Rattus norvegicus: one gene and its partners. The protein of the gene in region 1 interacts with the protein of each later gene in a pairwise test. Links are inferred from orthologs where the notes say so. Each region holds a gene or a part of one and is shown in the gene's direction. Other genes may lie near its edges.

What was found. The genes of interacting proteins can lie anywhere in the genome.
Region 2: the proteins of Ppp1cc (region 1) and Tprn interact in binary tests that used the Homo sapiens proteins (3 or more experiments, as listed by UniProt). The link is inferred for Rattus norvegicus from reciprocal best matches to the Homo sapiens genes PPP1CC and TPRN.
Region 3: the proteins of Ppp1cc (region 1) and Zfyve9 interact in binary tests that used the Homo sapiens proteins (3 or more experiments, as listed by UniProt). The link is inferred for Rattus norvegicus from reciprocal best matches to the Homo sapiens genes PPP1CC and ZFYVE9.
Region 4: the proteins of Ppp1cc (region 1) and Ppp1r15b interact in binary tests that used the Homo sapiens proteins (3 or more experiments, as listed by UniProt). The link is inferred for Rattus norvegicus from reciprocal best matches to the Homo sapiens genes PPP1CC and PPP1R15B.

What each region holds. Positions count from the first base shown.
Region 1 is NC_086030.1:40,057,702-40,063,243, reverse strand, and holds the start of Ppp1cc (serine/threonine-protein phosphatase PP1-gamma catalytic subunit), read left to right. Parts: upstream 1-1,942; 5' UTR 1,943-2,195; coding exon 2,196-2,250; intron 2,251-5,542. UniProt on the Homo sapiens protein: Protein phosphatase that associates with over 200 regulatory proteins to form highly specific holoenzymes which dephosphorylate hundreds of biological targets.
Region 2 is NC_086021.1:28,472,476-28,478,153, forward strand, and holds the start of Tprn (taperin), read left to right. Parts: upstream 1-1,846; coding exon 1,847-3,715; intron 3,716-5,678. UniProt on the Homo sapiens protein: Essential for hearing. Required for maintenance of stereocilia on both inner and outer hair cells. Necessary for the integrity of the stereociliary rootlet.
Region 3 is NC_086023.1:128,754,563-128,760,277, reverse strand, and holds the start of Zfyve9 (zinc finger FYVE domain-containing protein 9), read left to right. Parts: upstream 1-1,883; 5' UTR 1,884-2,207; intron 2,208-5,715. UniProt on the Homo sapiens protein: Early endosomal protein that functions to recruit SMAD2/SMAD3 to intracellular membranes and to the TGF-beta receptor.
Region 4 is NC_086031.1:47,128,179-47,133,831, forward strand, and holds the start of Ppp1r15b (protein phosphatase 1 regulatory subunit 15B), read left to right. Parts: upstream 1-1,821; 5' UTR 1,822-2,264; coding exon 2,265-4,106; intron 4,107-5,653. UniProt on the Homo sapiens protein: Maintains low levels of EIF2S1 phosphorylation in unstressed cells by promoting its dephosphorylation by PP1.

The sequences.
Region 1 (5,542 bases):
TGCCTCCCTGGTGCTGGAATTAAAGCCATATCTAACTCAGCTCAGCTTTGAGGTTGCTTTTTTTTTTTTTTTTTTTTTTTTTTGTCAAATGTTTCATTACATTTTATTTTGTATGTATGTCTGCTCAGAGGTCAGAGGACAACCTGTGTCAGGGATGGACCTCAAACTGGTTGGCAGACTTGGTGGTTATCACCTTTACCTGAAAAGCTGTTCAGATAGCTTCCACATTGAGACAGTTTCTGGTTCATACTAGGAAGGGTGGTGTGTGTTTGTCTCTCCATCCCACTAAATGAATCTCCCCAGGGAAAGAAAGGCTTTCCCTGTCTTACTCAACCTGCTCCACCCAGAATAGACACTCTAAATGTCTCCCGAGTGAATCTGGCTTACATATCCCTGCCCCTACGGTGTCCCGGGGAAGATACCCTGCCCTGGAGGAGTCCACGATCCCAAACAACTCCGTGAGGACCACTTTGACCTCCACAGATAGTCACAGCAAGGCCTGACATCGACTCCAGGATGTCAAGATGCCCGGTGAGCTGGTCCCCTTGGTGTTATGAATGACCATTTGTGTAACGGTGGGCAAAACCACAGCTTAGGACAGTGAGTTGGTGAGTGGGCAAAGTGGAGCAGAGGGCTGAGGGGAGCTGAGGCGAGTCCTGAAGTTCCACTGCCCGCGGGCCGGCAGGAGAAGAGGGGCACAGATCTGGATAGATCTGGATGGGTGCATCCCACACCACAATGCGGCGCCGTGGGAAGACAGAGCTTGCAGAAAATGAATCTCTAGATGGGGAAACCACCTCGCAAGGCATGCATGGAAAGGAGTCTTCCGATCCTTCCTGCTTTGAGAAACATGATGAACTGGAATGGGGACTGGGGGAGAGAGTACTTTGTAAACTCTGGAGTGCTACTGGGAGAGATAAATGGGTCAGATGGGTGTGCATTTCTTCCAATATGCAGCTAGCCTGAGTGGCAGCAGAGTTGGGGACCCCTGGGTGAAGGGGTGCCCCTGGGGAGTCGAGGAAGCTAGAGGCAAGCAGCCGCTGAATGTGCTGAAACCTGGAGCGCACAGCAGCCTCTAACATCCGCGTTCCTAGCGCGAAATGTGCAAATTCCCATTTTCTCTGCTCCGGCGCGCTCATTCAACCCAGCTCGGGCTAAATGCAGGGGAATCTCTCCGTTATTATTTAACTTTCTGAGTTCAAGGAAGACAATTTGAAAGATAGATAGCATCCCTTACAGAATTCTCCCAACCTCTCTCTAAAAATGTAAAATTGCAGAAATGCACACAAGAAGCACACACATTACCGAAATAATGTGCTACTCACGATGGATTAACATTTTGGGCTTATCTTGGGGTCTTCTTTTTTCCCCCAAATATTGGATCTTAGGTGCTTTATTGCAGAATTACTAAATCTTGCCAGTGCTGGGGCTTGAACCAAAGATCTCACACATACTAGACAAGAGTTCTTACCATGGAGCCGTGTATTTAGCTCTTCCTATTCACCAATGAGCCGGAATATTTGAATCCCCAACGCTCCAACCTCCTCCTCTTTAGGGTACTCCACGGGCAACCCCACCCCAGATTGGTTCCGAGGGGTGACTCCCTAATGGGTTCCCACCCGGCCAGGTCGACCGACTTCTGTCTCAAAGCAGCAGAGTCGGGAGGAGAGGGTGACCCTTGCAGCGCATAGCCGCCGGTCAATGCCCATCTCCAACTCGCGCGCGCCAACTTTGCAACTTCACTCTCCCGCCACGGGGGGGTCTATTTCCCCCGCCCGTTTGGCGGAAGGATCCCGCGCGCTGTTGCAGCGTCGCTCAACCGTCTCTGCCCGGGCTCCGCCCCCCGTGGGCCAAACCCCGCCCCCTCCTGCAGATGGCCCCGCCCCCTCCCGCGCGCCCTATGGGCCTGTAAAGAAGTCCCGGCCCGGCCGCTGCACTCCCGCGCGCGCATCCGTGCGCCGCCCGAGGCTGGCCTGAGGAGTCGGCGGCCATTTTGTTCTTCTCGTGGTTCCAGTGGCGAGAGGAGGAGGAAGCCGGGAGCGGGGCGGCTGGGGGGGGGACCCGCCGCGGCTGCTGCTGCCACCGCCGCCGCCACCACCGCTCGTGGGGCTCGTGGCGTGAAGAAGGAGGACGAGTGAGACCCGGGCGCGAGCCGGCGGCGGCGCCGCTGCGGGAGGGTCGGCGGCGGGACGGCGATGGCGGATATCGATAAACTCAACATCGACAGTATCATCCAACGGCTGCTGGAAGGTGAGCGGCGCGCGGGCGGGCGGGCGGGCGGCGGGTTGGGCCGGTGGGGACCAGGCCCAGTAGAGGCCGGTCTTTCTCGGGAGCCGCTTGGATCTGGGGCGCGCACACAGCGCCTCCCGGTCTGGGGACCCTGCCTTTTTGTCACCCCCCTGCCCTTGCTTTCACATTCTCATTATCCGGAGTCCAAGGACCCATCAGTGTGACTTGGCAGGGCGACGTCCCAGTGCGATGAGAGCCCGTCTCCTTCATTTTCCTCCCCCAACCCCCCCACACCCCAAAGCCATCCTCCTCCCTCCAGTGCTCTTTCCCCTTGAACGTGCATCCGCACACGGACCCAGCCCGGGTGACTGTGGCTCTCTGCTCATCAGATTGTTGTCCTGAGGACAGGGGGACGCTGCTGCGTTCAGCGAGCACCTGCCAGGTAGGTGCTGTTATCCTGGAAGTGTGTTTCGCAAGAGAAACTTCAAAAAGACCTCGCTGGACCAAGGATGCAGTTAACAATCAGGTTTAAAACCCCGGGTTGCCAGGACCGAGGTAGAACCTGCCACCTTTCCACCGTTCACCCTGTGGGAACACAGAATTTCCAGTGGTTGAGTAAAGGTTAAAAATACAGCTTTCCTTTTGTCCAACCTGGGGCGGGGGGGACGGCTCTGCAGTGGATTCCTACTTTCGATATTCAGATTTTACATAGGTCTGAAAACCTGCTCCTCACAAATCCCACAGCGTATCTGCTAAAGCTAAGGAGAAGGGGAATCCAGTAACCTTCTTGCTTTCACTGCTTTTGCCTAAAATATTGGTGGAGTGGTGGACAGCTGCTTAATTCTGGTGGTAGATGTTTTCAAGTCGCTGAAAGAAAAGTCAAAAAGTGTGTTTTTTGTTTTTTTTTTAAATGGTCATTTCCCCCTCTCTAATGCTGTGTTCTGTTTTGTTTAGATAGGGTTTCTTGGCTTTGGTTTTATAGAGACATGGTCTCTCCAGTCCTGGTTATCCTGGAGCTCCATGTGTGGACCAGGCTAGCCTCAAACTCTCACAGATCTTTCTTCCTCCCCCTCCTCATTGATGGCATCTTCTGTATCACCATGCCTCCTAGATACAGGGTCTCAGGAGTCAGAACTGGCGTTAAACACTGATCCTTCTGCCTCCTCCCAAGTACTAGAATTGTATAGACCACTAAGCCTGACTTACTTGTTTTTTCCTGTGGAATGTGTGGGATGCAGGCAGACCACAGCACACATGTGTGTGGATGCAGGCAGACCACAGCACACATGAGGAGGTTGAGAGGACAGTTGGGTGTAGTAGGTTCTCTCCTGTTGTTTGGATTCTGGGAATCAAACGCCGGTCAGGCTTGCAAGGCAGACTTTCCACTGACTAAACCATCTCATCAGCTTCCCTTTCTCCCTCTTTAAAAAAAACATTTTCTATTTGCAAGAATTTGCCTGCATGTATGTATGTGCATCATATGCTGAAGAAAAGGGCATTGGGTCCTTGGGTACTGAAGTTACAGGTAGACCTGAACTATCACGTGTGGGTACTAGAAGTGGAGCCCAGATTGTCTCCAAGAACCGTCATCACTTCAGTCCCCCAACCATCTACCCCCATCTCCCCGTTTTCTGGCTGGTCTCTGTCTCAGCTGTCCACAGTGTTGGAATTAAAAGCTTTCACCACACCTGGCTTCCCATAGTTTCTTAGTTACTTTTTAAATTTTGAGACTGGATATTGCTGTGTCCCAAAGGCTGGCCTGGATTTCAGAGATCCGCCTGCCTCTGCCTCCTGAGTGCTAGCATTCAAAGCTGTACTATCATGTCTGGCCTGATTTATTCTTTTCTGTTGAACTTAACAGAGTAAGCCACCATTTAAATAACATTGAGAGTAACTAGCTGTGTAGTGCATGTGTGTGTTTCTTACTTATGGAAGTGCTTGACAGAGGCCACAGGGATCTGATCAGAGGATGATGGGATTGCATTCTTTGTAATGCCCTCAGAAACGGCTCTGCGGGTTTTGGCTCTTGTCCTTAATTCTGAAGACTCGATTTGATCTTCAGGACCCACATGAGATTCAGGAGAGAACTGGAGGGTTGTCCTCTCCCTTCCCTCCATCCACAACTGCTCTAGCAAGTGTGGCGCTGCACACATGCACACACACATAAGAAGATATAAAAGGAACTACGGGCCTAATTCTGAAAGGGAGAGATAAGATTTGTCACCTGATGAAGCGGTGTTTCTCCATATTGGTAATTGATACCTTTCAGTCAGGGCAGCTTGCTTACCCCCACACTGGAGTGTGAGGCATGAAAAGCCAGAAGTTCTAGGGCAGGGTAGCAAGAGCTCATATGTGGAACCCTTCCGTAAGATCGTCCAAACTAGGGCTGAATGAAGGAGTTGAGAAGGGGGTCTTTTAAAGGTTAAGGCGGCACTGAGCACACACCTTTAATCCTAGAAGGAAGAATTAGGAGGCCAGTCTGGTCTATATACCAGATTCCACACCAGTCAACTATATGTAATAAGACCCTCTCAAAAACAAAACAAACAAAAAACCCACAAACCAAACCAAAGGCTGAGGTCTAGAGGGATGGCTTAGTGGATGAGAGTGTACATTACTCACCCAGGCCATCCAAGCTCAGCTCCTGCACTCAGCAGGTGCCTCAAGGCTTGTTACTCCAGAACTGGGGTCAGACACACACACACACACACACACACTCACACTCACACTCACACTCACACACACGAATACATTTTAAGCTGGGCATCGTGACACATGCCTTTAATCGAAGCACTGAGAAGCAGAGGCAGCTTGATCTCTGAGTTAAAGGCCAGTCTGACTTAGAGATGAGTGCTAGGCCACCCAAGGCTAAGTCATGACCTGGCATAGACCTGTAGTCGCAGGCACTTAGGTAGAGTCAGGAGGTCAAGGCTAGCTTAGCTTCTACATGAGTTCTTAGAGGCAAGTCTCAACTACAGAGACAGACGGGAGACAGGGTTTGGTTCATAAGCACTACAGCTTTGCAGCACTCTAAATGCAGTAGTGTTTCCCTGAGCCAGTCACCCTGCAGGTGTGTGCCACTCCTCAGCGCCGTTAGCTACACGCGAGAGCAGAGGGACTTAGACAGAAAACAGACAAGCTGTGTGTGAACTTAGCACCCTGCTCTGCTATTTTGGTGGGAAAATGGGAATTGGGGTGTTTTCTTCGTGAAACTTGTAGCGTTTCTTGACTAGCACATGATTTTAGTTTGTTCACATGGCAGTGTGCAAGAAGGATGTTTGTGTAAAGGAAAGTCATTGTCAGTGTAGGCTGG
Region 2 (5,678 bases), on another chromosome or scaffold:
GTACTAGAAGTTCTCTTTGAAGAACTTCTCTTTGAAGAAGTTCTCTTTGAAGCTGAGACTGTGGCTCAGTAGTAGAGAGTTCACCCAGCATGCAGAAGGCTCTGGACCCAATCTCCGACACTACAGGGTAAGTTAGCAATGTGGGTTTTTTTTTTTAAGATTTATTTATTTTATTTTTTGGTTGTGAGCCTAGCCTTTAACGGCTGAGCCATCTCTCCAGCCCTTATTTTTTAAGATTTATTTATTTATTATATATGAGTACATTGTAGCTGTCCTCAGACACACACATCAGATCTCATTACAGATGGTTGTGAGCCACCATGTGGTTGCTGGGAATTGAACTCAGGACCTCTGGAAGAGCAGTCAGTGCTCTTAGCCGCTGAGCCACCTCTCCAGCCCGATTTATTTATTTACTATGAGTACACTGTAGCTGTCTTCAGACACTCCAGAAGAGGGCATCAGATCCCAGGACAGATGGTTGTAAGCCACCATGTGGTTGCTGGGATTTGAACTCAGAACCTCTGGAAGAGCAGTCAGTGCTCTTAAACTCTGAGCTGTCTCTCCAACCCTGAAATTCATTTATAATCTCCAGTTTATATTGATGGAGTGGACCAGCAGGCAACTTAAAGATAAAGGAAGGTGGTGTGAGCTGTAGATTTGCCATTCAACCCAGAAGCCTAAGGCACCTACCCCTAGTTTGAGTCTGTTTTTGCAAAGGCCCACATTCCATGAGGCAGAGTCCCTGGAAGGCAAGAGGCACGGCGGGCAGCGGTGCCAGGCCTCAGCTGGCTGTGGACTGTAAGGCAGGTGAATGGAAAACACACCGCCAGTCAGCAGCCTCCAATTTTCTAATCCCTCCAAGCAGTTGCCCTACTGTGTATGCTGGGGAGGGAGCCGCATTATGCAGCTCTACCTAAAGAAAGTTTTCACTACTTATCAGCTGTGAGGTTGTAACCCTTCAGAGTCACTACCCCCCTACCCATTCTTGGAGGTATGCGTTTCAATAGGAGTTAGTGGGACCTTTACCCTTGTTTTTGTACTTCTCTGCATGACAGAACTGCCTAAATGTGTAACGTGTGTGTGTGTGTGTGTGTGTGTGTGTGTGTGTGTGTGTGTGCGTGCGCGCGCGCGCGCGCGCGCGCGCGCAGAAACAAGGCTGCTTCCTTGCCTCTTACACATAATGGATACCTGGCAGAACCGTGGGTGGCAAGCTGTAAACCAGATATTCATACACGCAGTAAGTCTGGGACCTACAAAACCAAGATTCTCGAAAATACACTCTTTATTCCCCGAGTGGATCTCAGAAGCAGCATTTCTAGGTCCGAAAGGGAACCTTGGCTGCCTGCCCACAGCGGTTCAAGGACTCCAGATTGGTGCGGAGCCTGGGCCTAAAGGTGGAAGGCCCTTGCAGCTTGTATACTGAAGTCAGAACTGTGCCAAGGTCACCTAGGTCGCAAGGGTCCGCTAGGCGATACCTGCTTTAATTACAAGCCCTACTTTAATTGGGATCCAAGGCGCCGGATTTAGAGCGCAAAGGCGGAAGTGAGGAGCAGCCATTGAGCAGCGCTTCACTGGGTGTCCACAGACTTTCACCAATAGGGTCTGACTAGTGCCGGTTGTAGTCCAATGAAAATGCTAAAGGGGAGGGGTTTAGTGGGTATTCTCCAGTCAACTGGGCTGTTTGCTTCTGCTATAGGTAGGTAGTCCTGCCCTTAGGTCCGAGCGCGCTTGCCCAATTGGCGGCTACCAAGGGGGGCGTGGCACGGCGCGGTACTGAGGCAGGTAGCTGAGAGTCAGTCCGACGCGCGATCGCCGTGCAGTCCTGTCGCGGCCGCACGGCCGCAGCATGGCCGGCCTGGGGCGGCTCGATCCGGGGCCGCGAACCGTGATGCCCGCCTGGAAACGGGAGATACTTGAGCGGAGGCGAGCTAAACTGGCCGCTCTGAGCGGAGGCCCGGGATCTGGAGCGGCACCGGATGGGCCTAACGAGCGGCTGGTGCTGGCGGAGAGTCTGGGTCCACTAAGCCAGAACCCGTTCATGCGACTTGAATCGGAGAGGCGGCGCGGGGCGCGGCCCGCTCAGCAGCTGCTGGAGCTGTACTGTCGTGTGCCCGGCGTGCGGACCATTCGAGCCGACAACATCCTCATCATCGAGTCAGCGCCAGGGTTCCCGCCCGCTGTGCCGCCCGCTTCGAGCATCCGCGCTGCCGAGGTAGTGGTGTACGAGGAGCCACAGCCCGGCCGGGTCAGCCGCCTGCTAGAAAAGTTCGACTCGCCTGCTGCGCCCCGCCGCCGCGGGAGCCCAGAGCGCTTCCGCCCTGCGCTCCCGCAGCTTCCCGTGGCGCCTGCATCTGCTGCCACGCGCGCTCCTACCAATCGGTCGTTGGCTCCTGCCCCACCGGTGCTCCCTAGCCAGCCCGCACCCCCTATTTCGCCTGTCCCCGTTGCCCAGCGCGCGGGTCAGCGCTCTGCCTGTTGCGAGCCCGCGCACCCCGACGGCACTGCCGGCCCCGGGGCCCGGCGCAGCGACTTCCTACAAAAGACCGGCAGCAACTCCTTCACTGTCCACCCCCGAGGCCTGCCCGGCAGTGCGGTCAATCGCTCGCTTTCTAATGGACCCATGACTCAGGAATCCCCTGCCGGCCCTGCCAATGGGTTGTCGGGCTCTCCGCCTGTACCGGGCAAGTGGAAGCCAAAGGTGGAGTCAAAGGAACCCTCCCTCCACCCACCCCCAAGCCCTGGGACCCCAAGTGCCACTCCAGTTGGGCCCCCTGCCTTCCTGGCGCCCAGCCCAGCCAGTGCCACTCCCAGTCAGCGCCAGTGGGTCTCCTCTGCCACCAGCGCCAATGACTCCTTCGAAATAAGGCCATCCTCCAAGCCAGACATGGAAACTATCCCAATTGGGGACCTTCAGGCCAGAGCCCTGGCCAACCTCAGAGTGAACTCCCGCAACTCCTTCGTGTTGATCCCCAAGCGCAAAGCCCCTGGGAACTATCCTTCGGCGGCGGGGAGGCAATTCGAGGAGCCAAAGGGGGAGGTGGGCTGGGCCTCTCAGAGCCAGGGGCTCGGATCCCAGCTGGTGTCTACAGTGGATGGTGCACCTGCCCTAGAGAAGAGTTCCTTGGCTGCTGAGATGCAGTGGGCAGTTAGGGAGGGAGGCTGCCCCAGGCCAGCCATTTCTGACACAGACAAGTCTGTTAGGAGGCAGAGGCCAGCCTCACCACCTCCATTTCTACCAGCCACTACTGAAGCTGAGCCGGCTGAAGGCTTGGGGGTTCCTGGCTTGACCAAGAATGGCCAGGAGCCTGTGAGGCCAGGACTTCCAGTCACCTTCATTGATGAAGTAGACTCAGAGGAGGCGGCCTTTCAAGAAGCCAAACTGCCCTCTTCAGCAGTTGGTGTGCCTTCCCAGTACCACCTGCACCCTTCCACACCTGGGCACACCTCAGAGCTCCTCAACCGAGGTAGCAACACTTTCACAGTAGTGCCCAAGAGGAAGCCAGGGACCCTTCAGGAGCCACACTTAAGTCAGACTAATGGGCAGTTCCAGCAAGGGGCAGAGGAACAGGATGCTGATAGCCTCTCGGGACCCCACACTACCCTGGAGAATGCCCTAAAGAAACGATACCCCACTGTGAATGAGATTGAGGTGATCGGTGGTTACCTGGCCCTGCAGAAGTCCTGCCTCATCAAGGCTGGCTCCTCCAGAAAAAAGGTAAGTGGTAAGGAGAGGGCTGCTGGCACAGATGCCTTCTCCATAAATCACAGGAGAATGGGGCTGTGTGCTTGGGCCCAGTCCAGGGCCTCTGTGAACTTTGACAGCCCCAGGCTGTAGTTAGCCTACTGTTTACTTCAGAGATTTGGGAGAAGTAGCCAGGGAGTGCAGGGTTCCAGCATCCTTTTGGAAAAGGGTAGTTTTGCCGTCTACCTTCAGGAATAGCCTAGCCCGTTGACTCTGGCCTGGCCTTTGATTTGGAGGTAGCTGGCATATTCCTGTGGAGTTTAGTTTGGACAGATCTCCAGAGCCTGGCTGTACATAGTAAGGATAAGGCCAATCAGTTTTTTTGCAGGTCCTCCTCACTTTGAGGTCAGTCTGGGCACACAGCCCATAAGCCAGTTGGAGGGAGTTCTCAGCACCCTGGAAGGTCCAGGAGCCAGAGCTTGGCAGGCCTTTTCCTTCTGCAAGCATGGATTGAGAACCCAGGCTTCATGCCAGACATGGTCAACAGGGCCTTGGGCAGAGAAACTCAAGAATAATCCCCTAGAGGCTCAAATGACCAGGGTGAGCTATATTTCCTGGCCAGCTCTGGCCAGTGGCTTGGAGCCCTCTGGGCACAAGGAAATCATTCCTCCGATTCTTCCTGATTGTTCCAGGGTCTGTGTTTGTCCCCTGGGGCAAATTCCAAGACCTACCCCACATGACTGTTAGTCAGCAGGCACAGGGAAGTGCACCTTTCCCTTCTGCTGAGATGGCACCTGCAGTGTCTACATTTACATTCACCCTGGTTAATGCTGTTTTTTGGGGAGACCTTTTTGTCCTAAGCCATGTCACCTCCTCACTCTTTTTCCCTTACATTTTGTTTCTTGCCACAGTTGGCCTTGCCATCATCTCTCCTGCCAATTCCACCTGCCATGTCAGGCATCCGGGGGGATTTTGGTGGGGATTCTGGTGGAGACTCAGGGCTGTAACATTTTTTTTTTCCACATAAGACCATGTCTCTCCCACTCTCACCTGTGCTCTTTACCCCAAGTCCTTGGAGCAGATTGATCCAGGCCCTTCCCTATCTTTCGCTGCTTCCTGATCCTGATGTCTGTGAGGTGGCCGTCCCCAAGCTTGTTGAACAAGTGAAGTGGTGAAAGCCTATACAGCTGAGGAAGCTGAGGCTGGGGAGCTTCACGAGGCCATGGAGCGCGTAGCACAGGAGCTGAGTCCATGTTCCAATTTCCAAAGCCTTGCTCCTATCCTGGGACACTTGGCTTCTTGAAACTGAAAAGCTTCTCCTAAGGGCCTGGCTCTCCTGTCCCTGTCTAGGACAGCTGCGAGAATCACCCTTGGCTGGGTTAAAGTGAGAAGGGCAGGGCTGCCAGGTACAGTTGTTCATGCAGATCTCAAACACTAAAGCAGGACAAGGCCTAAAGGCTAGCAGGGCTGGGGTAGGACCCTGGCCAGCATCCTGGCTGTCTGGGCCAGACGGAGGGAGTTGGGGGTCCAAATGGTTGATGCTTCCTGTGACCAAGTGGCCTGGGCAGGGCTTTCTGTAGCAGCACAACCTGCTGGTTGTGCCATCCTGCCTATGTATGCACCAGCTGCCCTGCCCAGCAAGACACAGAATGTGGGAGGGGGAAGGGCACAAAGCTGCCCAACCTTCAGAGCAGTGTGCAGGGTGAGGCCCTCATGTACTTTGTCCTTCCCTGACATTTCTCCTACCTACAGCCCCCAGGAAAACCCAGGGTGCTCCTTCTGAAACCCAAGTAATTGCCCTGGTGAGACTCCTGTTTCTTCCTGTGGGAGTAGGTGGTCCCAGAGGACCTTCAGGCAACTACTGCACACTTTGGTTTCCCTCCCCACCATGACTGGGACCTGGTGGCATTGCTGCTGGCTTTCCAGGGTATGACTGAGGAATTGATTGCTCTTCACTGGGATGGCAGTTTAGCAGAGGGTACATGACTTCAGAGGG
Region 3 (5,715 bases), on another chromosome or scaffold:
TGGTCTAAATTAAAGGGCCCCATCTTAAAGAGCAAATGATATCCATAGTAACTCACTCTAACAATGTTTTAATACTTCAGAAAAGATTGCTATCAGATGGGAGACCCCTATGGTTATGGGGTATACTTGCAGCTTTTCTTTATGTTGGATGTCCTTCGGTGGTACCAAGGTACTGAATTCATAGAGATGTTGTGAGGATGAATCACCTTCTGAGCTGGTTTCTGTCGTTACAAAAAGGGGATAGTGATTTTTTTTTTTTAATGTGACTCAGAATTATGTGGCAAAGGCAGACTTGGGACTGTACAGGAACAGCTTTCATTGATGAGAAAAAGAACTGCTAGGTTATATTTTCTCTGAGTGGCTGCTCAATTATTACTTTAACGGTTCCCGAAGTTCTTATGTAATTTTCTCATGTCTTGTTACTTACTATTAGGCCATAACCTAAGGTAAAGCCAAGATTGCTTATAATATTTTTTATGCAGAAAAAAATGTACTGGTTCTATTTTGATATCTGCTGTACGGTAGAATGTCAGAGGATCCAGTATATTAGGTTCTCTTCTTCAGAGGAGAATGTTACATAAATGCACTAGTGAAATTCAGGGAAATTTCACTTAGACCAGGAATGATGAGAATGACCTTTTGATAGGAACACACACACACACACACACACACACACACACACTCACACACACACACACACACACACACACACACACACACACAAAAGGGGTGGAGGAGTGAGGTGGGACAAACAAACACAGATGGGAACAATATCCAGATTAAGAATGACTAAGTGTTAGGGTGCTCTGGAATTAACGAAAATTGTAATTGTAGGCCGGTCCTTCTGTCCCTAACCTTCACAACCAGCTAGGCAGGCAGGAGAAAACAGAGGTTCAAAAATATTACATAACTTGCCAGGGTCATAAAACTCTACATGATGTAACTGAAACCAGTGGTATCAGGATCTGCCTGACTCCGAAGTCCTTGCTTGTTCCAGTATAGCACCCAGAAACAAAACCAACTAACCAACCAAACAAACAAACACCACATTTGGGAATTTGAGGGACCAGGGGATTTAATTTTTTTTTTCTTTTTTCCTATTTGCCTTCTGATAGTCTTTTGTTTTTGGTTGTGGCATTCTGTTAGCAACCCAGAGGCTGGGCAAGATCAAACGGGCGGCATTTGTAAACAAAATGACTACATAGCCTTTAATACAACCACAATTTCCTTCTTTCAGAGTCTTACCTAGGATTTGGTAAGGGGTGGGTGGCACAGAAATAATAGAGGTGGTGGCCAGGGTTAAGTTAGTAAAAGGATGATTCTTTTCTTACCTTTAAGTTGTTTATCAATTTCAGGACAACCCGTTGGTTATTCTCTTCTTTTGGTCAGCGTTTATTTTTTTTGTTTCCCCCCTCCCCCCCCCCCCCATTTTGTGGGGAAGGTTAGGCGTTAAGGGGTTCTGTAGCCAATTTCTGTAGTGAATCTGCACAGTAGCTCCAAAAAAGTTGAGGTCAAAGATTATTTCTTTATCTGTTTTGGGAAGGAATTGTGCATGTGCTTAGAAAAAGAAAAAAGAGATTTGTTCTGGGTCACTCTCCTTTCATACTGACGCACTGAGGGGATTAAAAGGGACCCCCTGTCTGCGCGAGAAATGAACCGAGATTCCCTCACATTCCCGCTCTGCATTCACATACCTTCGGGAGGGAAGAAAAAGGTGCTGGGGTCTGACGGGGGTGGGGTGGGGGGAGCCGACAGCTTCCGGCTCCCGGGAAGCCGCGTCAGGGGCGGGCCACCGGCCGCAGGCGGGCGGGCGGCGCAAGGCGCACCGGGCCCCGCCACCCCCAGGCCGCGTTGCCTCGCGTTCCCTGCCGCTCGTGCCCGGTGCGGCCGCCGCAGTCCCGGCGCCGTAGCGGGACGTGGGGTCCAGGGGGCGCTGTGGCCCAGCGGCGCGGGCGGCTGAAGCGGCCACCGCGGCGCCCGAGGCTTCGCCGAGCCCGTCCGCCTGCAGCGCCTCGGTCGTCCCGCCGTAAGCTGCGCCCCCGGCCGCGCTCCCCCAGCCCCGCGTGGCTGAGGCGACTGGAGCGGCGCTGGGCCTCGTCCCCGGCCGCAGAAACCGCAGCCCCCTCAGGAGTGCGAGGCTTCGCGGCGGAGCCCTGCTGTGGAGGAGGCTCTCGGCTGAGTGACGACCCCCGGGCCATGGAGAGGCGGTGAGTGTGGCGCGCCGCGGTCCGGGGCTCGCCTGCTTGCGCCGCCCAGGGGTCCTGGCGCCTGCTTTCGGGTCGGGCGGACGGAGCGTCCTGCCACCGCGGCCACCGCAGCCACCGCGGGCACCCCGAAGCTCTGGGGCCTCGGCCCTTTCTCCGTGGGTCCCCCGGGAGACTGAAGGCGTGCGGGGGGCGACTAGGCCCCGCGCCGCCGGGAAGCCCTTAGCTGGGCCTGGGTTCCGGCGCGGCCGGGTACGTGAAGACTGGGCTGGCGGCCGCACCGGTGCCCTTCGCATTTGTCCCGGGCGGGGCCGTGCGTGCCTTCCTTCCCAGGGCCCTGAGTGCACATCCCGGAGGGAGGCAAAGGACGGCTTGTTTGCAAACAGCTTTGGCTTGCCTGCGCGGCTTACTGAGTCCCGCGGAGCCAACCCCTGGGTGGGGAGTGGTGAGTATTGAGGTGCAGAGAGTGCGGGCACTCGGAGCCCCAGATACTCCAGGAGTAGCATTCACGCCTCTCTTGATGGAGACACAGCCTTTTGCGTCCTTTTTTGAGGTGAAATTTCATCACCTGCCGCTAGCTCATCCTTTCCTCCCTATGTTACATCTGAGCGAGGTCTGCCTTGGAGAAAGCCCCATCCCATTTTTGCCATGCTAAGTTTCCTAGCTAACCACTTACAGTTAAAAAAAAATCTTTTATGAAGGTGTCTTTTCCACCTTCAAAGAGACAGGAAATTGTTTAATGCCTCAGTCCTTGGTACAAAAATGTACCACTCAAATAGGGAACGGATGGCAAGAAGAATTTTAAATCGAACCAATTAACCTAATAGCAAGGACATGCCGACAATGGGATATAAACTCAGTTGTACAAGAAAAATGATTTGTTTTGATGTAAAAAAAGTGATTGTAGTTTGATATCACACCTCAGTTATTGGCGTGCTTCTTGTTTATGATTACAGGTTATTTTTATTTTCTATTGTAAGGACTTATGTATATCTAGAACTTTAAGGCATGAAAATATGTATATATACTAGAAAATTTGGATACGCAGAGAGGTACTATATTGGCTTTCAATATGTACTTAATAACTGGAGAGAGATTACTGGTAATGTCATAGTATGTTTTGATGGTCATTCAAAGTTTACAGTGAGAGTACTCATAGTGACTTAAAATTTATTATTATTATTATTATTGCTGTTGTTGTTATTATTTGGTATTAATTAAGAATACCTGACTGGTCCACTTTACAGTCAGGCATTTGTTTAAAATTTATAAAATATGTTACTAATTACCGGAGTTAGAGCCATCAGCTAATATGCATAGTTACCTGTAAGACTCCTGACTTAACCTTCCTACAGAGCGTGGGAATCTCCTGAGGACTAAGGAGGTTCATCATGTTGAAGAATTTTGAGCACCCATTGTGTGTGTGTAGCCTTGCCTTTGTCAGATTTTGTGTGTTTTTAACTGTAGAACATTGGTTTGATTAAGTATGTTCATTAACTTAGGTTTTAAAAATCAAATTCTTAGTGTCTCTAAAGACCAATATTAGAATCAGTTGGGGTGCTGATTAAAATATTTGATCCCTGGTCCCCTAAATCAGAATTGTAGATCAATTTGAATTCAGAATTCAAAGATCTTGATTTTTATCAACCTTCCTGGTTTCTAGTACTTCTTAATTTGAACATCATTGATAAAAGTTAAAAGAGATTTGCTTGGGTGATCAAAAGTGTCCTCTCTCTAGCACAGCTTTCACTCTTAAGTGGCTTACAGATGGTTTTCATAGCAACAGATAATGGTTTTGTAATGCAGATAGAAAAACAGTTGTTTTAGTAAACAAACCTGGTGAGCCTGCAGTGGGAACATTAAGGAAAACTACCTGGTTATTCATCTTGGCAGTGGATAAACGTCAATATTGTCTATAAAATGCAGTTAGGTATTATACTTAATTTGGAAGGCTTTTAGAAAACAGCATACAAAAAAGTATTGTATAAATTTTTTTTTTTTCCGGAGCTGGGGCCTGAACCCAGGGCCTTGTGCTTGCTAGGCAAGTGCTCTACCACTGAGCTAAATCCCCAACCCCTAAATTTTTTAAATATAATTTTAGGTAATACTAATATCAGATTCTGTCTTAGGTGTTCTGGGAAATACAAAAATGACCAAGGCTTCCGCTAGCAATTAGCTAATTGTGGAAACAGGACAAGTTTAATTAACTGTTACAAGGCAGGGTCAGAAAAGTGTTGTAACTGAGTAAAATGAGCTAGGTCTCTGCTTAGGGCTTCTGTGTCTCACCCAGGATCTTGCCGTTCACGAGCATCTGTAAGGGATGGGAGGTCACTCTGGAAGAGGATTTGCTTAGAATGTGCACGTCCCCCGGTTTAATTCTAAGAATTGAGGAAAAAAATCATATGCAGTGTTCCTTTCTTTTCCAATTCCTGATTCAATGTTTTCTTTAAAGAGACAGTAGCATGTGTTTCCTAGGAAGTACTAGTTTTATATTAACTCCTTAGTGAATAGAGAACAAGTGAATGAGTAGGGATGAACTCATTCCTTCCTCTGTTGCTAAGCTGCCACTTTTATTCCATTCACTGAAGTTTATTTGGCTCCTCTTATGTGCTGGTCACAGACTGGTGGTTGCAAGGTACAAAGCTTGATTAAAAGATAATTGCATAGACTTTAGCTTAAGTTCTTTTGTTTCTAGGGGTGGCATGTAAGTGTTTTATGATTATTAATTGCATGGCATGCTGTGGTGCAGCGTATGGAGTCAGACGTGAAGAGCAATGAGATACTTAGGTTCTGAGCTTCTTCTGTTTTCTTGTAGTATGAGTAGCCCTCCCAGGGAAGTAGAAAGTTTCTGTGAGGTGCAAGTGATTATAGACAGTAAAGAGAAACGTTCATTTCCATTTTTCCTTTTGAAGAAAAGAAAAATAAAAACCAGATCTTGTATAGATCCGTGTGACTTAAAGCTTGTCTTCTCTCCTTTCTCTCGACAAGTTTTACTTTTGGATTTATTTTTTAAAATTTGATGGGAAAATTTTTATTGTAATGAGTACATATTTTTCATTTCATCTTTAACTAATATTCCATATGCCTAGGATATACTTGTTAATTTCCTTTCAGTTTTACATTGGTCTTTACTTTTATTCCATCCTTGTATATTCGGCTTGCAGTGTGAATTAGTGTATAGAGTAACATTCTTGGTGCGTACTTATCATTGGAAAATACTGAGTTGCAGATGCTGAACAAAAACACTTCATGTACTTCAGTTTAAGAATATTACTCAAAACATATACTTTTCCTTATAATCTGTAGTGATGAGAATCACAATTCTTTGTTTTATTTTTTAAAATTTACTTATCCACATGACTACTCTATTTGCATATGTGTCTACATGATAGAAGAGGGCATCAGATCCCATTATAGATGGTTCTGAGTCACCAAGTAGTTGGTGGGAATTGAACTCAGGAGCTCTGGAAGAGCAGCTAGTGAGCCATCTGCTCATTGAGCTGTCTCTCCA
Region 4 (5,653 bases), on another chromosome or scaffold:
CTCATTACTGATACGATTTTTTTCTAAAGCTTTTAGGATGAAGAAACCAGTTACTTCCAGACATAAGTAATAAGATATTGTGGGTGGTGTAAACAGGAGAAACTCTTGGTTTCAGGAAAGAGGATCAGCTGCCCCTCCCCCCAGTGCCCCAACAAGCTTCCTTCTTAGTTTTAACTACTACCCTCTGGGATAGCCACTTGGTCTTTGCACTGTGAGTTAAAATGAGAATAAGAAAGTGAACTAAAGACCCGGGCGTGGTGGCTCACACCTTTAATCTCCATGCCAGAGAGGCAGATACAGGCTGATGTCTCTAAGTTTAAGGACAGCCTGGTCTGTAAGGCCAGTTCCAGACAGCCAGGGTTCTGCAGAGAGACCCTGCCTCAAACAAAGGTTCTGTAGAGAAACCCCCACATCAAATAAATAAATAGATAAGTAAGAAAAAATAAAAAGGAAGGAAAGGAATGGACAGAAAGAAAAGGAAAAGAAAGAGACCAAATTCACAGCCAGTACTTGGTTGGGAGGCTGAGGCAGGAAAGATTGTGGTTAGTTTGAGGCCAGCCTGGGCTACAGAGTAAAATCTGTTTCAGACAAACAAAATCCTTCCCTTAATACAGCAATTAAAATTAATCAGCCAATATTTTTTTATTTTTTTTAAAGATTTATTCATTTATTATATATAAGTACACTGTAGCTGTCTTCAGATACACCAGAAGAGAGGATCGGATCCCTTTACAGATGGCTGTGAGCCACCATGTGGTTGCTGGGAATTGAACTCATGACCTCTGGAAGAGCAGTCGGGTGCTCTTAACCACTGAGCCATCTCTCCAGCCCCAGCCAATATTTTTCAGATGACAAAAGTCACCAATGTGTTTTCCTTCACTGGGCGCTATACTCTGTGGTTCTTTTTTTTTTTGAAACTATTTATTTATTATAGATGAGTACACTGTAGCTGTCCTCAGACGTGCCAGAAAGGGTATCAAATCTCATTACAGATGGTTGTGAGCCACCATGTGGTTGCTGGGATTTGAACTCAGAACCTCTGGAAGAGCAGCCAGTGCTCTTAACCCCTGAGCCATCTCTCCAGCCCCTACTCTGTGGTTCTTGAGGAAATTGAATTGAAGTCGCTGTTTCTGAGAAGCTGAGTTAACAGTTACGAATACTCTTCCCACCTGTGACTTCAGCTTGTCAGTAACACCACGTTTTTCTTATCTGAGTGGTATGTATTTTGTCAAATGGACGCTGAAAGACGTCCAAATTAGGCCACAGGCCATGTTAGACTTAGAAATCCTAAAGCAGAGGGGACAGGAAAGCATGAGTGATTCAGTTGTCACTTGAGTTTCTCACTACTGTTATTCACTAGGGGTGATTGTGTCCTGGACAAGTTGGTTATACAGCAGTGCACACATCATTTAACTCCTGTCTCCTTAAGCCCTTAATTCGAGAAGACCGATACACGTATCAGATAATCCGGTACGTTGCCTAGTGTACCCGATCCGTAAAAAAAAGGGCTCCGGGGAATTCTCAGGTTCTCTTGAAACCCACTCACCTCCCCCAGTCCTTCCCTTTAACCCAGAGGGTGGAGCGCGGAGTCTCCTAGGAGACCAGAACGAACTGACTGCGCATGCGCATATCCTAGGTCCGGCTGATGCAACTTGCCGCGTGCGAGCCTGCTCTGCCCTGAGTAAGGAAGCCGACAGGGACTGCAGGCTCAGCCAATCAGCGGCCACGCACGAGGGTGAGGCAAGCCCGCCTCCCGGGAGCTGAGGGTGGGGTTCAGCAAAAGACGTTAGGCGGCGCTGGGCCGTAGGAGTAGACGCCCTCGGTCGTTCGTTTCGTCTTGCAGCTTCCGGGTTTGCGGCTGCGGCCATTTTGAGCTTCGCTTCCTTTCGCTCTCGCCCGCCACCCAGCCCTAACGTCTGTGTATTTCGCGCCTCCGTGTGGGCCGCGGTCTCCGGAAACGTTGCCGCCGCCGCCGTGTGAGGGGTCTTCTCTATGGTGGAGCGGTCTCACACGGACTAGGGCGCCTCCATTCTCGCCGAGATGGACGTAGTCGCGGTCGCCACCGCTTGCGCGAGCCGCCCGGCCGTACGGTACATCGCTCGCTACGGAAGCCGCCGCTCTCTGGGCCTCTGCTGGCGCGGGAATCGGAATGCAGTACCCACTCCGTGTCTGGGCAAGGCTAAGACTGTGTAGGCCTCGGATCCTGCCCGCTCTGACGCCGCTGAGCTCCGTACTCGTGCCCGAGAAGTTGCCAAGGAAAGGAGATGGAGACGGGAACACACAGGGCTCGGAAGCGGCCTACCTCTCGGATGGGCTCCTGGTTCCGGCTGCCCTTCCTTCGGCGTTCGCACGCCTGCACTTCCGAGTTCCCGAAGCCTTCTTCTCGACCAAATCTCGAGGTCTCCGCCCGGCCCGAGCCTCGGACCAGGTACTGGACCAAATTGCTTTCCCAGCTCCTTGCCCTGCTCCCTAGCTTGCTCCAGAAGCTGCTTATTTGGAGTCAGCTTTTCGGTGGCATGATTCCGACCAGATGGTTAGATTTTTCAGCAAGTTACAGCGCTCTAAGAGCTTTGAGAGGACGGGAGGAATCAGCCGCTCCCACAGTGCAGAAATCTTTGAATTCTCTGCGGCTGGACTCTTCTTCGGAAGACTTGGTTGTCAGTTCTCTTGATTGGCTAGAGGAGGGACTCCAGGGGCAGTGCTCGTCCTCAGACCTGGAATTGAAATTCAAGGCCCAGGAAAGAGCTTTAGACTCTACAGCGCACACTTTCCTCTTGGAGCAGCAGCTGTGGGGAGTGGAGTTGCTGCCCGGTAGTCTTCAAACCGGTCTAGTCTCCCACCGAGAACTTGGCTCTTCATCCTCTGGGCCTCTGAGTACTCAGAGCTTGGGCAATTTCAAGGTAGTTTCCTATCTCCTGAACCCTTCCTACCTGGACTGCCTTCCCCAGTTAGAGCTGCGCTGTCAGAACAGCGTCGGAGGTGGCCAACTTGTGGATTTCCGAACACTATCCCCAGAGAGCTGCTACCTTTCTGAAGATGCTTGTCACCCTCAGCCGCTGTGTGCTGAGATGTCGGCAACTGCCTGGCGGAGGTGTCCGCCCCTCTCTACAGAAGGCCTGCCAGAAATCCACCACCTTCGGATGAAACGACTAGAATTCCTTCAGGCAAACAAGGGGCAAGAGTTACCCACCCCTGACCAAGACAATGGCTATCATAGCCTGGAGGAGGAGCACTGCCTTCTCCGGATGGATCCGCAACATTGCACAGATAAGGCAGCACAGGCAGTCTCCCCTGCTGGAGCCAGCCCGCAGCCCACTGAGAAAAAAGTAGAATTGGTGGTTGAGGAAGTTTTACAGAGCCCCCAGGGAAGCAGTCTGTCTTGTGAGTTAAGTGTGCAAAAAGAATGTGAAGACTACTCAGACATAGGGGGTAACCTTCCAGTCTCTACCAGACCAGCTTGTACCAACAAACTGATAGATTATATTTTGGGAGGAGCCTCCAGTGACTTGGACACCAGCTCCGATTCTGAAAGTGAGGATTGGGATGAGGAACCTGAGGATGATGGTTTTGATAGTGATGGCTCCCTATCTGAATCAGACAGGGAACAAGACTCCGAAGGGCTTCACCTTTGGAACTCTTTCTACAGTGTAGATCCTTACAACCCCCAGAACTTTACAGCCACAATTCAGACTGCTGCCAGAATTGCCCCCAGAGACCCATCTGATTCAGAGAAGTCCTGGTCTGGCAACTCTGATGTAGGGAGTTCTCAGGCCACACTCCTTCCCCAGACCCCTGACCAGAGTTCCGGGGAGGAGGATGACTGGGAATCCAGTGCAGATGAAGCAGAAAATCTTAGATTGTGGAACTCTTTCTGTAATTCTGAGGACCCCTACAACCTTTTAAATTTTAAGGCTCCTTTCCAAACGTCAGGGAAGAGCTGGAAAGGCAGTCAGGCATCCTCTGAGGCCACAGTGGTCTTTTCTGGGCATCAGACCTTACTTTCTTGTGAGGCACAACTGTTAGAGAGCCAAGAAGACAATTGTCCAGGCTGTGGGCTGGGTGAGGCACTTTCTGGAGAAAGATACACCCATATCAAGAGAAAAAAGGTTTGTTTCCATTTACATGACTTATAATTTGTTGTATTTTGATATGGTTACAGTAGAAGAATAACTTTTCTTGTGGAGGCATAGTTGTGCATATTTTTGAGGAAGACCTCTGAGTTCATGTGCTTGAATTCTGAAATACTCAAGTGTGACCCTTCTTCCCAATATAGAGAAATGTTTTTGTCCAAATGGAAGATGCCAGCATTAGATGTTACTAGGGTTGTCATTTTGGTTGGTAGAACCTGAAGATTAGAGTGGTTTGCATGTATTTTATTTGGGAGCATGTAATGTTTCATTTTCTTGGCTATTGTGTCTTTATTCTTGTCCATTGGAATCCAGAAGAATAATACTATCAAGTAGCAAATTAGGCTTGTCTAGTTGTTTGCACAGAAGGAGTTATTGTGGTGTGTGCCTGTAATGCCAGCACTTTTGAAGCAAGTGGGGTTTTTGGAGTTTTGGGAGTCTAGGCTGGTCTGTCTATCTAGTGAGTTCCAGACTAGCCAAAGATGTATGAGTGGGACTTTATCTCTAAATAAATACATATATAAAACAAACACCCTGCCCTCAGCCAGTTGTGTTCCAAGCTGGCCAGAACTTCCAGCACAGCTTGTTTTTTTAGGTCGTGTTATATAACACAAGACCTCACTGTGAAGTCCAGGCTGGCCTTTGTGCCTGGTGTCTCAGTTTCCCAAGTGCAGGGATAATTGTGAGCCTATGGGCTTGCTTAAAACTTCATGGGGGCAGGTATGGTATGTTTAGAGTCACTGTTTAACTTCTCTTACTGCTTACTCAGCTGCAGCTCCAGTGCCTGGCAAATGGACGGTGTGTGAGTGAGCGAGCTCCTGGGTCTGAAGGACCCAGCTTTCCTAGAAACTTTATTGGGACATATCTAAATGGTAGTAATCTTGAATCTTCCTATAGTGGCATAATAAGTCATGCTAAAGAGTAGATTTTAGGATGAGAGAGCCTCTATGTTTGTTTATAATTATAAATGTATTCTTTATAATGAGGTTTGATCAGCTCTCATTATCCTCTTCAGGATAGACAAACTGCTATTCAGAGAACAGGCAAGAAACACAGCACTTGGCCCTGAAGACCTCTCGGCTTTGCTCTGCACTGCTCCGATTAGGGCTGAGATGGAGGTCGGTGGGGTAGGGCAACCAGACTAGACTTAAGGGGCTCTCTCACGCCCCTGATCTACTTTCTTACCCAGTGGGGATACTAAGATCTGTGTAGAATTGTTTTGTCTTGTGATGGTGAGGGTTGAAATTGTGGACCTGTTGCACATTAAACATTCATCTTGCCACTAAGCCAGCTACACAGCCAGCCCAAGTTACCAAAAAAATGAGTAAATAAAGCTCATAAATCATTTCCATATTATCATTATCATATTCCTTTGAATAGCTAAGGGCAACCTGATGTCTCAGTTTAGTTTAAGATGGTTGTCTGAGCGAGAACCACACTTAGATGAGGTTGTGTCAGCTATGGCAGCTATTTGACAGACCTTGGCTCCTGCCATCTGTTAACTCTGAGAATAATGAGTATCCTCT